Arabidopsis thaliana: one gene and its partner. The protein of the gene in region 2 interacts with the protein of the main gene of each other region in a biochemical or structural test. Each region holds a gene or a part of one and is shown on either strand. Other genes may lie near its edges.

What was found.
Region 1: the proteins of J3 (region 2) and SVP form a complex in vitro, tested with the Arabidopsis thaliana proteins (one study listed by BioGRID).

Annotation. Positions count from the first base shown.
Region 1 is NC_003071.7:9,577,724-9,584,533, reverse strand, and holds SVP (K-box region and MADS-box transcription factor family protein), read right to left. Parts: upstream 4,888-6,810; 5' UTR 4,118-4,887; coding exon 3,936-4,117; intron 3,029-3,935; coding exon 2,950-3,028; intron 2,664-2,949; coding exon 2,599-2,663; intron 2,484-2,598; coding exon 2,384-2,483; intron 2,299-2,383; coding exon 2,257-2,298; intron 2,146-2,256; coding exon 2,104-2,145; intron 1,633-2,103; coding exon 1,591-1,632; intron 1,493-1,590; coding exon 1,341-1,492; intron 950-1,340; coding exon 931-949; 3' UTR 633-930; downstream 1-632. UniProt on the Arabidopsis thaliana protein: Transcription repressor that inhibit floral transition in the autonomous flowering pathway, independent of photoperiod and temperature. Acts in a dosage-dependent manner.
Region 2 is NC_003074.8:15,867,874-15,872,971, forward strand, and holds J3 (DNAJ homologue 3), read right to left. Parts: upstream 3,384-5,098; 5' UTR 3,187-3,383; coding exon 3,034-3,186; intron 2,773-3,033; coding exon 2,607-2,772; intron 2,527-2,606; coding exon 2,388-2,526; intron 2,238-2,387; coding exon 1,961-2,237; intron 1,863-1,960; coding exon 1,664-1,862; intron 1,571-1,663; coding exon 1,242-1,570; 3' UTR 758-1,241; downstream 1-757. UniProt on the Arabidopsis thaliana protein: Plays a continuous role in plant development probably in the structural organization of compartments.

The DNA of each region.
Region 1 (6,810 bases), on a different chromosome or scaffold from region 2:
TGTTGAAGCAAGCAAAGAATTTAATCATTAAGTAATTGAATCTTAAAGAACTTTTTTCCCCTTTGTGACGGTTTAAACATAAAACCGGACACGTTTTGATGAACCGGTCAAAGGTCGGTGTGTAACGATCCGACCAGAACCTTCTTTCTTGTGCAAAGTATCTCTAAAACGTCAAACCTCATTATATAGAGGCCCATTTACTGAATTTTGAGAAAATCTGAAACTTTTTTAGATTTTGGACGTTGTGTAACGAATGATGAATTAGAAGCAAAGTTTCAAACCATATTCATATTTCTTGTTGCTAACATAATGAATCGTATGAATATGGTTTGAAACTTTGCTTCTAATTTATTATCATAGAACTCAGTCTCATCCAACCGCACAGCTCCAACTAAACTACAAATGTGTTTCTCAAACAAGACACATTGCAAGTGTCACACACACAAGTAAGATCATCAATTCACCAGAATCATCACCAATGAAGACACTTGAAATCTCTGGTCTGAGAAAACTTGTAAAACTTTGCAACAAATTCAACAAAACAACAAGATGAATTCGAATCACACTTTTGTTACACTAAAATTTCTAATGAGACTGAGTCCTATGATGATTATTAGTTATTTGAGGCATCACTAAAATATATTTTTGATCCCTAACCAAGAGTATATCGATAATCAAAATTCTACAATATTTTATATTCTAACTTTCCATAACGAGAAAGTTTATCGGTGACAAGCGTTACTAACCAGAAATGCAGTGAAGAGAGATCATACATAGTGAAAATCATAAAAATGAAAGCCTCTTCCATAGGCAGAAACTTACACAAACATTTGAGAATTCACTACTTAGACATTGTCTCTTGTTACTACCGAGTTAAAAAGATTTACATTACTCTCCTCACTCCATCAACTTCTTTGAATTGTTCCATCTCTAACCACCATACGGTAAGCTGCACAACACCATACATTAAATCAATAACTTATTTTTTAGAGTGATTTTGTAGATGATTAGATTTGTGCCAGAATTTTCAAAAAACAAACCATAAATAAGTGGTGTTTTTTATGACAGGTAATTTTAACAAATAGCATGATATCATGTAAAATATACAAAATAACATGTTATTTGTTAGAATTACAAATATACAACAAATAAACCAAATTTATTTACGATTCTGTGTCATCCATATCTTGCAATGCCAATAAATATGGACAACATACATGTATATGGTCGTTTAAAGTATATATTTTTATATTCTTTGTCTCAATTTAAAAACAAAAAAAAAATCATGTAAAGCTATCAACTCAAAAGAATGTAAAAAGAAAGGGTGATTAATTGGTTACCCGAGCCTAAGGGAAGTGTCGGAGCTCTCGGAGTCAACAGGCGCTCCGGTAGAGTTTCCGGCGTTAGTAATAGACTCCGACGACTGTCCTTCCTCGTACACAGCAGCGTTCTCCGATTCAGCACCACCGTGTGCATGCACATTGTTACATATCTACACGTAACCAAAAAAAAATATTCCAAATTTAACATTAAACTGATAACAAACATACAAAATTCAAAATAATCAAGACTATATATATATCCACGTACTTGCATGCCAAGTCGCTCGTTCTCTTCCGTTAGTTGCGTTCCCTGCAAAAATCAAGACAAAACATATCATTAAGTTCTCTAGCTAAGTATTTGCATTTTGTGTTTTTAGTGGCACCATGTGTTTTGAATTTCTCTAGAGATCAACTAACTACGAATGAGCAAATCTTGACATGAAGCCTCGACCAAACTATATATCAAACAAGAATTAGATATATATTCGTTTATGGTTCCCTGTTTCAAAAAACAAAATGAAGATGAAAAAGAAAAAACGCACCAAATCCATGCATGCACACTCGTAGACCTCTAGGACCCTAGAGACTAACTAGCTACATGGTTACCTTTAGTTTTAAAGACATTTTTAAATCGCGCTATATCACTTGGTTTATTCATTTATCTCACAGTATGATCAAACATATGTGTTGTAGACAACTGGGGATTAAATTTAGGGGTGTGTACGTTAATGGTAGACAAAAGAAAGGGATTTGTTATCAACAGAGAGGGTAAGACACATACTTGCTGCCTCAACCGCTTGTTCTCATCCATCAATTGCATTCCCTGAACACCAAAAAAAAAGAGAAGAAGATGAAAATTTTGGATCTTGAAACTGCCAAAATTAATATTGAAATCATCAAGTAAAGAATAAACGTTATTTTGGTTAATTATTACCTTTTTCTGAAGTTCGCTGATCTCACTCATAATCTTGTCACTCTGCAAACACATCTCGTATTAGTAAATTGCATACTCGTAAGCTTAGAGAAACTTATACATGGTATCAAGTAATTTTCTTAACAACCTTTGTTTCAATCACACGCGTCAAACCAGTTTCAAGGGCCTTCTCTAGCTGCTGAAGCTCTTCAATGTCAAGTCCTTGAAGTTCCTCTCCTCTCATTTGCCTATATATGATCATGTAAACACACAGTTAGAAAATGATAGTGGTTGATCAAAAAAAAAATTAGTTAGAAAATGATAGTTAGTTCAAAAGTCATAGAATATACATATATAACGTACCTTAGTCGGTGGCTCTTGTCCGCAATTTCTTTACTCATTCGGGCGTGATCACTGTTCTCAACCAGCTAACAGAATAAAACATTGATTTAAGCTCTTAATCATATCCATAATGATCTAAAGCTCAACTCTCTACACAGGACTACTCTACATGACTACTACATGGATCGAGTCTAATTAATCATATGCAATAATATAAAGTTTTGTACCTATTAATACAAAGTTTTAAGAGATTCTTGGTCAATAAATACAACAATCTAAAACATATTGGTAATTCAACGGAGTAATACTCGATTTTGCAAGTTACAGAAATCGGGAAAGAAAATGTGTGGTCGTTTCGAGAATGTAGCTAACCTGTAACTCAAGAGATGGCTGATCAAGCTTCTCCAAGTTCTTTGACTGCAAGTTATGCCTCTCTAGGACTTCCTTCATGCTTCATAATATAAACACATTCCAATAAATAACTTATTATAAACAACTATACTGTTGATATTAACAATGTGCATATGTAAACACCGACAATATACCAAAATCTAAAATCAAAAGATGCAAACCAAATCCACAAAACACATTTAATCCCAAACATGTACATTATTTCATGTTAACACTATCGTTTTCAGTTACATATATACACAATTATCTGTGAAAGTGTGTATGTCCCCGAAGATAGGAACTGAGCTGATAACTAGTGGGTCAAAAATCCAAAATCGTATCTCTGTAATACGATAAGTCATTTTAGATCCCTAATATCAATAATATCTCTCTAAATGACTTTTCCCAACACTAATAAAGATTCCAACATATCTATACATATACATATATATATATATATTATTTTTAGATTACTTCTTCAAAGGGAAAGCTTTATACATCCACACATATAGATACTTCCTCATGTTATGGTACCCACATATTTCTATATAAATATGACATTGACGGCTTAAACATATCATACCACAATATCTATATACATAGATTTATACATGGTTGACACAAATACCTACTATAGAGCATGTATTTATATACTAATAATATACATATATGCATATCCAGATTTACATCTTTTTGAATATTACCGTAGTTAGATACCTTAATTTATCTAAATACAGAGTTTTACTATACACTTTATATATGTCATTTATGGTCATGATTAATGTTTCTAACAACTATTTTAATTATATAAATAGTTAGTGGTCCTATAAAGATTGATACAGTAAACTCCTATGTATCAGATATACATCTAAAAACTCTTTAAAGTTTTTTGTCTGGATCTAGACAAGATTCCTTCGATGAGTTATGAGAAATCTATAGAGAGGGAAGTTAGAGAGAGAAAGAAAGACCTGGAGCTACAGAACTCGAACAGTTTTCCGGTGGAAGAGAAGATGATGAGAGCGACATCGGCGTCGCAGAGAACGGAGAGTTCTTCAGCTTTCTTGAAAAGCCCTCTTCTTCGTTTCGAAAACGTCACTTGTCTCGCCGTTGCGTTGTCGATCTTCCTGATCTGAATCTTTTCTCTCGCCATCACAACGAACAAAAAAACCCTAGAAGCAAGAGAGAGAGCTTAGGTTTTGATTTTAATGGATCTTTCGAGAACGGGATTGATTTTGATGGATCAAGATTCAAGAATGAGAGATGATTAAAGAGAGAGTAAAGAGAAGAGATGGAGGAGGAGGAAGAAGAAGCCAGAGGAAATAAATTTTGTGAGAGAGAGAATTTTTGCTAAAAAGGGAGACTTTAAAGAAGAGAGAGAGAGTGACAAGACGACTGAAATGGAAAGTAAATCGTGTTCTTTTTGCTAAATTTAGAAGAATAAATATGATTTCAAGACAGTAAAAACCCTAGTTTTTGAAAGATTTGAAAGAAAGAACACACTCAGTCTTTTGTGAGAAGAATTAGATCTAGTCGATGAATCAACAAGGAAATTAGAGAGGATCAAAAGAAAAAAAACTCAAGAAGAAGAAGAAAACTAAAGGAGAAAAAAAGCTAAGGGAATATATTTAATTTTCCACCTCAAAGGTCGAGGAGAGAAGAAGACATGAGAAGGTTTTGATTGGTGAAGGATGAGATATTTTCAGGGAGAGGTTTATTAATTTTATAATACTATCAAGATGATGGGGTTTCTTAAATGATTATTTTTGGAAAGAAAACGATATATATTATATTTTTAGTTTTAGTTTTTTTTTTGGATATTGGTCTGTGTGTGGTGGTTATTGGATATGGTGAGGTAATAGGATTTATAAGTCTCCAATGAGATGAGAGAGAGAAGAGAAGTGTGTGTTTGGGTCAGTGGGGAATTTCTTTTTATAGGGAAGCATAAAATGAGTTGTCTCACTTTGTTCACTTATACTCCTTGTAACTAATTGGTTGGTATTTACTGCAAAAACTAACTAGAAGACCTGAAGAACATCAAGGGCTACAACGTATTTTCATTTTTGTAAATCTACGTACTATATGGTAATGGTACCTCATAACAAAATTCAGAAAGAACAAAATAATATCAACTGTATATTATTTTTATTTATGTAAAAACATTTGGGAAGATGACATTTCAGAATTTTTCTGAGGACAATGTTTTGTTTTTACTGAAAGAAATAAGTTTGTGAGTTCGGCCTTGGTTTGTAAGAATCCAACTCGGAAATGACAAAATAATTTGTTAATTTCAAAGACATTAGTGCAATAATTTTTGAAAATTTAGTAGTCAATCATGTGGCATATAACTTGTCGAAAAATTGTGTCCTTAAAAAAAGAGGTTTGTAACCTAATGAACCATATCTACTCAGATACATGTAGTCCATTATACAATTACAATCTATGCACTAATTTGGAAAGTTTGTCATGCACAAATAAATTTTGTTCAATCCCAGTAACAATTACACACACAATGGGGGTATCAATCATCACTGAAGTATTTTTTTATAAAACCAATTGAATATGTAACTCAAAATAAAATTTAAATGAAATCACTTTCTTACGAGGTTATTTATCATTTAACATTTTAATACATAAGCTCAACATTACAAATCACATATACTTCACCAACGTCAACAACAGAACCAAACATATGATTTCAATCGCCACAATCATCATTCCATAGACTAAAAAGCAATTTACAAAACCGTGATTAAAGGTAAGAAAATAAAATTAAAGGGTTTTTAAAAATAAAATAATGTTTAAGCATACCTTCATACGAAGAAACAGTGAATAGAGGGACCCTCGAGGCACGAGCCAGAGTAAAATAAAAAGTGTCGACCACTAAAATTTTTCAAAGGGACCCAAAACCAGACCCGAAGCAGCCACAAGAAATCTGATTGGGACACGATCCATTGTCCGTACAGAATTTTATTTCTAAATTAAAGTTTTACCCAAATAAAGATACTCCACGCAACTACTACAAACCCATTCTTCTTCTCTTTATTACTCCAAGTTTGCAATAATCTACCCTTCAAGAATACATGTGGCTCGTATCACTCACCCCCTATTTGAGTATTATTTACTCTTCCGACGAAACTCTTGTGTTGTATTATTGCGAATTTATTATGATACTATATGAATTATGAAGTTGCAAACGGTAAAAAAGTCATATGGTTGATGTGATTAATACGGTGTTAAATATAATTATGGTTTGCGTTAATTTACTGTAAACTCTTTTCTTTTCTTCTTTAACTCTTTTCTATCTAATTGGGTAATCAAGCAAATATAGTTGAATTATAATTTGAAATTTTTGTTGACAACAAAATATTAATATGGTTTGCGTTTGTGTTCTACGAGTAATGGAATTATGGAAGTTTTTAAAACAAAAATGTAGTATTTTTTGAAAATTTTGATGACGTATATTAGAAAACACTAGAAAACAAAACCTTCTAGTGGTTAAAGTTGCTAGGAGAATAACTATAAGAGAGGTGGCCTGATCGATATTACTTATTTCGGCATAATACATATTCCTTTCTAACGTATTTTAAACAAAGAAAATCGTTGAGTTTTTTTCAGCTTGGTTTGGTTTCGAAAAAAAAAAAGTTTGTTCACTCACAAAATTATTATCAAGTAATGTTTATTCATATTTGTCATGGTTTGGTAAAAGTAGATTAAATTTGGTAGAACATCCATCAATTGGCGTTTGGAACCGCATGAATCATTTATATTTGAAATTGAATAGTGTTTAGAGGCGCACGTGACACAACTGGTGAGGTCTTTGAGTTTTGATTGGTCAAAGTGTCA
Region 2 (5,098 bases):
TTTGAATATTTTAGATATTTTTGGTTATTTTAGATATATCGGATATTTTTTATTATTTTTAATATTTTTACTATTATATATATTTTTAAATATTTTTAATTATTTAGTTTAGAAATAACTAATAGTTATAAAAAATATTTTTATTTCTGTTATTTTCGATTACCCAAAATATTTTGATTCGGTATCGATTTAGTTCGGTTCTTTTGATTATAAAATTTAGTATTAATTCGGTTATTTTATTTTCTAATTTTTGGTTTGGTTTGGTACAATTTTTTTGCTAATTTTAAAACTAATTTTATATAAAATTTTTGTTCAAGCTACAATTACAACTCTTTTTAAAATACAACTGGTATGATCTCTATTGTACTCACATAACTATTTGCGTATTTGATCCGTCATAGTTGATTTTATAAAATCTTTTATTTGAGAAAGCATTGCTAAGATTTGTGTAAAGAGAAATTGGATTAAACTTTCATGTTTATGTTTACGTTTACATTCACGTTAATTTCGTAAATATACAGTCACAAGATATTGCCAAAAAATAAATTAAAGAAGTCAAAGAAAAATAAAAAGCTGACATAATTATATATGCAAACAACAAAGCATATAGAAAATTAAATTAAGAAACATTTTTAAAAAATATAATATTATATTTTACGTAAATATTTCTATAAATTAATATTTTATTAACTTATAAGATAAATTAATAAATATTAGTTTATAAAATAAATTAATATCACTATAAATTAATAAAATTGCGTCGTCCGAACATTATTAATACATTTTTTACTAATTTATAGAGTTTTTACTAATTTATAGAGTTTTTACTGTAGTTCGTACGTACATGTCATCGGAGTTAACACCCAAAACATGGTGACATATACAACAAAAAGGATAAATATGAACATCTTAGACTATATAGCAGCATTTGTTCTGCATGAACACAAAAATTATTGAATTTTAAATCCATATCAATATAGAAAACACACAGTATATATGTTCTTAGACATTAAATTACTACAAATTTAATCATAAAGAAAAAACACAAAATTGTAATAAGGCCTTAATTTTTAAAGTCAGAGGAAAAAGAGAAAACAAGTTTCGATGTTCCACCGAAGTGGGCAAATTCTTAAACCGTACCAAACTCCCATAAAGACTCCAATACACTTAGAATGAAAAAGCAAGAGACAAATTGGTTGGAGCCCAAACCCATGTGGGTCAAAGTCTCTCTAAGGAGTTACTTACTGCTGGGCACATTGCACCCTTTGAGCACCACCCGGATGGTCATCATCTTCATCGTCATCATCATAAGCCTCTCTTTGAGCTTGTGCCTTCCTCCTCATCTCATCCTCAATGTTGACATCGTGGAGCGTGGTCTCCTCGCATTCATCTATCTCCATGTCACTCAACTGAGCTGTTGACGGCTTAGGTAGAACAGCTTCCAGTGCTTTGGTCTGATCTGGGCTCAACGAGTCCGGGAACTCCACTGTGAAGTGGATGTAGAGCTTACCCTTCATGAATGGCCTCTGGTATATCGGCATTCCTTCATCGCTTATTGCCTTGTATGAATCTGTCAAACACATAAGATAAGTGATCATGTTTCAATCAGAGACAGTTATAGTAACTGTAAAATCTGAGTATGACGATGCATCTGAATACGTACCAGGTTTCACGACCTCCCCAGGATTAGATTTAATGAGAAGACTTCTGCCATCCAAGTGAGTCAGAACAAATTGGAAGCCACACAAAGCTTCGGTTAGAGAAAGTGTGTGCTCCACAAAGAGGTCTTCTCCCTTTCTCTTGAACTTTGGGTGCTCTTTCTGCTGAAGGACAAACACTATATCTCCAGTGACAGTGTCAGGCTGCACCAACACAAAAACATAAAACAAAAGGTTAGTCTCCAGAAGAAAAGTAAACATACTAGTAATCAAAGCTGGAGTAAATGTATGAGAGTAGATACCGCTTCATCTGCTTGTCCTTCAAATGTGATCTTCTGACTGTGTTGCATTCCCTTCTCCACATTCACTTCAAGCACCTTCTTCTCAGGAATGACCTTGTCTCCTTTGCATTGTGGACACCTGTCCCGATCATTGATGGTCTCACCTGTCCCTTTGCATTCATTACATGCATGCTGCATCTGCTGGATCATTCCAGGTCCAAGCTGCCTAATAGACACCTTCATACCAGATCCCTGACACCCTCCACATTTCAAGGAGGCTCCAGATTTTGATCCCTTTCTGCAATCACAAATTCAGAACCTTTTAACCAACTGGGGTCACAAATTGAGATAAAGGGTTTCTGTCAAAACTTAAGCTAATTCATATTATTATGAACCTAGGACACATATAGCTACACCAAAAACGCAAGATCGAGTCGAATGTACTAACCCGTTACACTTAGAGCAGAGAGCATTCCTAGAAAGTGAAAGCTTCTTCATTGTACCAAGGTACACATCCTCAAGAGATACCTTCAAGGGATGAACAACATCCTCACCACGCCTCTGCCTCCTTTGCCGGCTGGTATTACCTATTCAAAAACAGAAACATATTCAAACGAAAATTCTCAATTGCGATATCATAAAGTGTACAGTGTCCAAGGAGACTCACCTCCAAAGGGGCCTCCACCAAAGAAGGATGAGAAAATATCAAATGGATCATGTCCACCTCCTCCACCACCCATTCCTTCCTTGAGTGCATCCTCTCCATACTGGTCATAAATCTCACGCTTCTCCGGGTCACTAAGCACTTCATAAGCTTGTGCTAACTCCTTAAACTGCAATCAACACATAACACAACAAATCAAACTCATAACCTAACAAAGAACCAAACTTTAACCACTCAATTATCAAAGCAAGACACATCTATATCATCAAAACCCTAATTTTTGATTAATCGCCAAAACTCAAACTTTTTTATCAGATCGGATCAAAATTCAACATTAAGAAACTAACAAGACAACAAATCAATCGAAAAAAAAAACACAATCAAACAATCGAATTCGAGAGAATCTAAGCGGATCTAAGAAATTATTCACCTTCTCGGGATCTCCACCCTTATCAGGATGATTCTTGATAGCGGCTTTTTTGTAAGCTTTCTTGAGATCTTCTGGTGAAGCGCTCTTAGGAACACCTAAGATCTCGTAGAACTTAGTGTTGTCGCTCTTCTTCGAGGGTCCTCTACCGAACATCTTTTCGCCGTTGTAACGAAAACCCTAGAGAGATTGGAAGGAGATAGAGAAAGAGAGAGAGAAAAGTGTCTCTCTTTCGATGTTTGGGTTGGTTGATGTGGCTGCCGTTTCTCTGAGAGGACTTCTCTCTTATGAAGAGGCTAAATTGCGTTTGCTTTTGTTTGAGGTTTTGTGGAGTTTGGAACTCTCTAGAATGTTTTATTACTTTCTTTTTTCCTTTTTTTCTCTTAAAAACATTATTACTATATTTGATATTTCCAACATGTAGAGATAAATTATTATTTTTTTGAATACAAAAGAGGAAAATTATATTATTTGGGTAGACAGAAAAGTATATTGTAGATGTTTGTTGTACAACAACGACTACTAAGATTATATTGACTTGTTTGACAAAAAAAAGATTATATTGACTTTTTTTTTATGACGATTTTTTTCAAAAAAATTTGTTTTGTTTTGTTACAATATTAAGTAAATAAATTTTTATACGAGCAACATAATAACAAATTATAAAACTACATGAGTTTTATGTAACTCACGTTACTTTTTATAAAACTCACATAAGTTTTTTATGTAAAAGAAAAAAAAATTGTGTTATTCTTCTCAACATAACTAAAAAATTTTACAATCGATTCACAAAAAAAAACTAATTATTAGAGTTTTGTTAAAGAGCGTAAAAAAATATTTTTTCATTTGATAATTTAGAAAAATATATTTCGTGAAAGAAATTTAATTTTGTTATTTTTTTGTTTGGTTTTTTATCTTTGTATATTTGTTTTTAGAGTCACTGACAATTGTCGGTTCGTCGGCGACTCTTTTTTTCTTTTTTTTCTTAATTCTCTTCTAAAGTAAATAATTTGTATTGTCGGAGTTACAACTGTAAAAGGTGACACTAGCGATTGAACTTTGATTTTTATAGATTTTATTATCCGCTTACTCGATCGCTCACCATCACACTTCTCTCTAACTATCAAGATGAGGTTCTGGATTCCCAAGTTTTGTTACGATTTTCTATCGATTCTATCTTCACTACTAACGCGATCGATCAAAGTGCTCTCCATCGTGTGTCCCTTGGTCGCCGATCTTCTTTATCGTTCTCACAAACTCTATCTCCATCAATTGGTTTTGTCTCTAAAGAACACATTCGTGGTTATAGCAATTTGTTGGTTGAAAACGATGACGGTTTCTTTCTCTTCATCTTTAGAGAGCGTCATATTGGTAAGTAATTTGATCATCACTGATTTTACCATCTTCTCTGGGATTTATAATAAGGATTACTCAGGTCCGAATGTTTTCTTCACCATCCCTTCAATTGATTGGTGTTATCTTGAAAACATTTTGAAGTTCCTCAACCCAAAATTGTTTGGTGTCATCACTACTGACATTTCATCTTTCTTTTACTTATAGAAGAAAATCAAATTGAGATATTGTTTGATACTTATTTCGGATTTTTTGAAGATTTGGGAAACTCTCTAGTTGAGGATTGTGTGGCTCTAAAAACCAAGACACATAAAAGTAGGAGTTATATGATCCAGATAGATTTGTTGGAAGAGATACACATGGATGTTGGGGATACATGCTATCATTGGATGATGTGGAGAACAATGTGATATATATATAATTGCAATCAGAAGATGGCTCATACTATACTGAGACGTCATAATTTATTCTCGGGATATAATGGTGAGAGAAAACAAAGTCAAAGATAGTTAAAGTGATTATGATACGGAAGTTTTGGTATCATAATGTTGATATTTCATAACTGTTATCAGAAGCATATGGTTTTAAATACGGTATGCGATATGGAAGTTTAAGCAAGAAATGCTATCCAGAAACATAATTTGCATAAGCGTAAGATCAAATACGAAAAAAATAGATTTAATAATCTGTTAACGAGTAAGACTTATATGTCAAA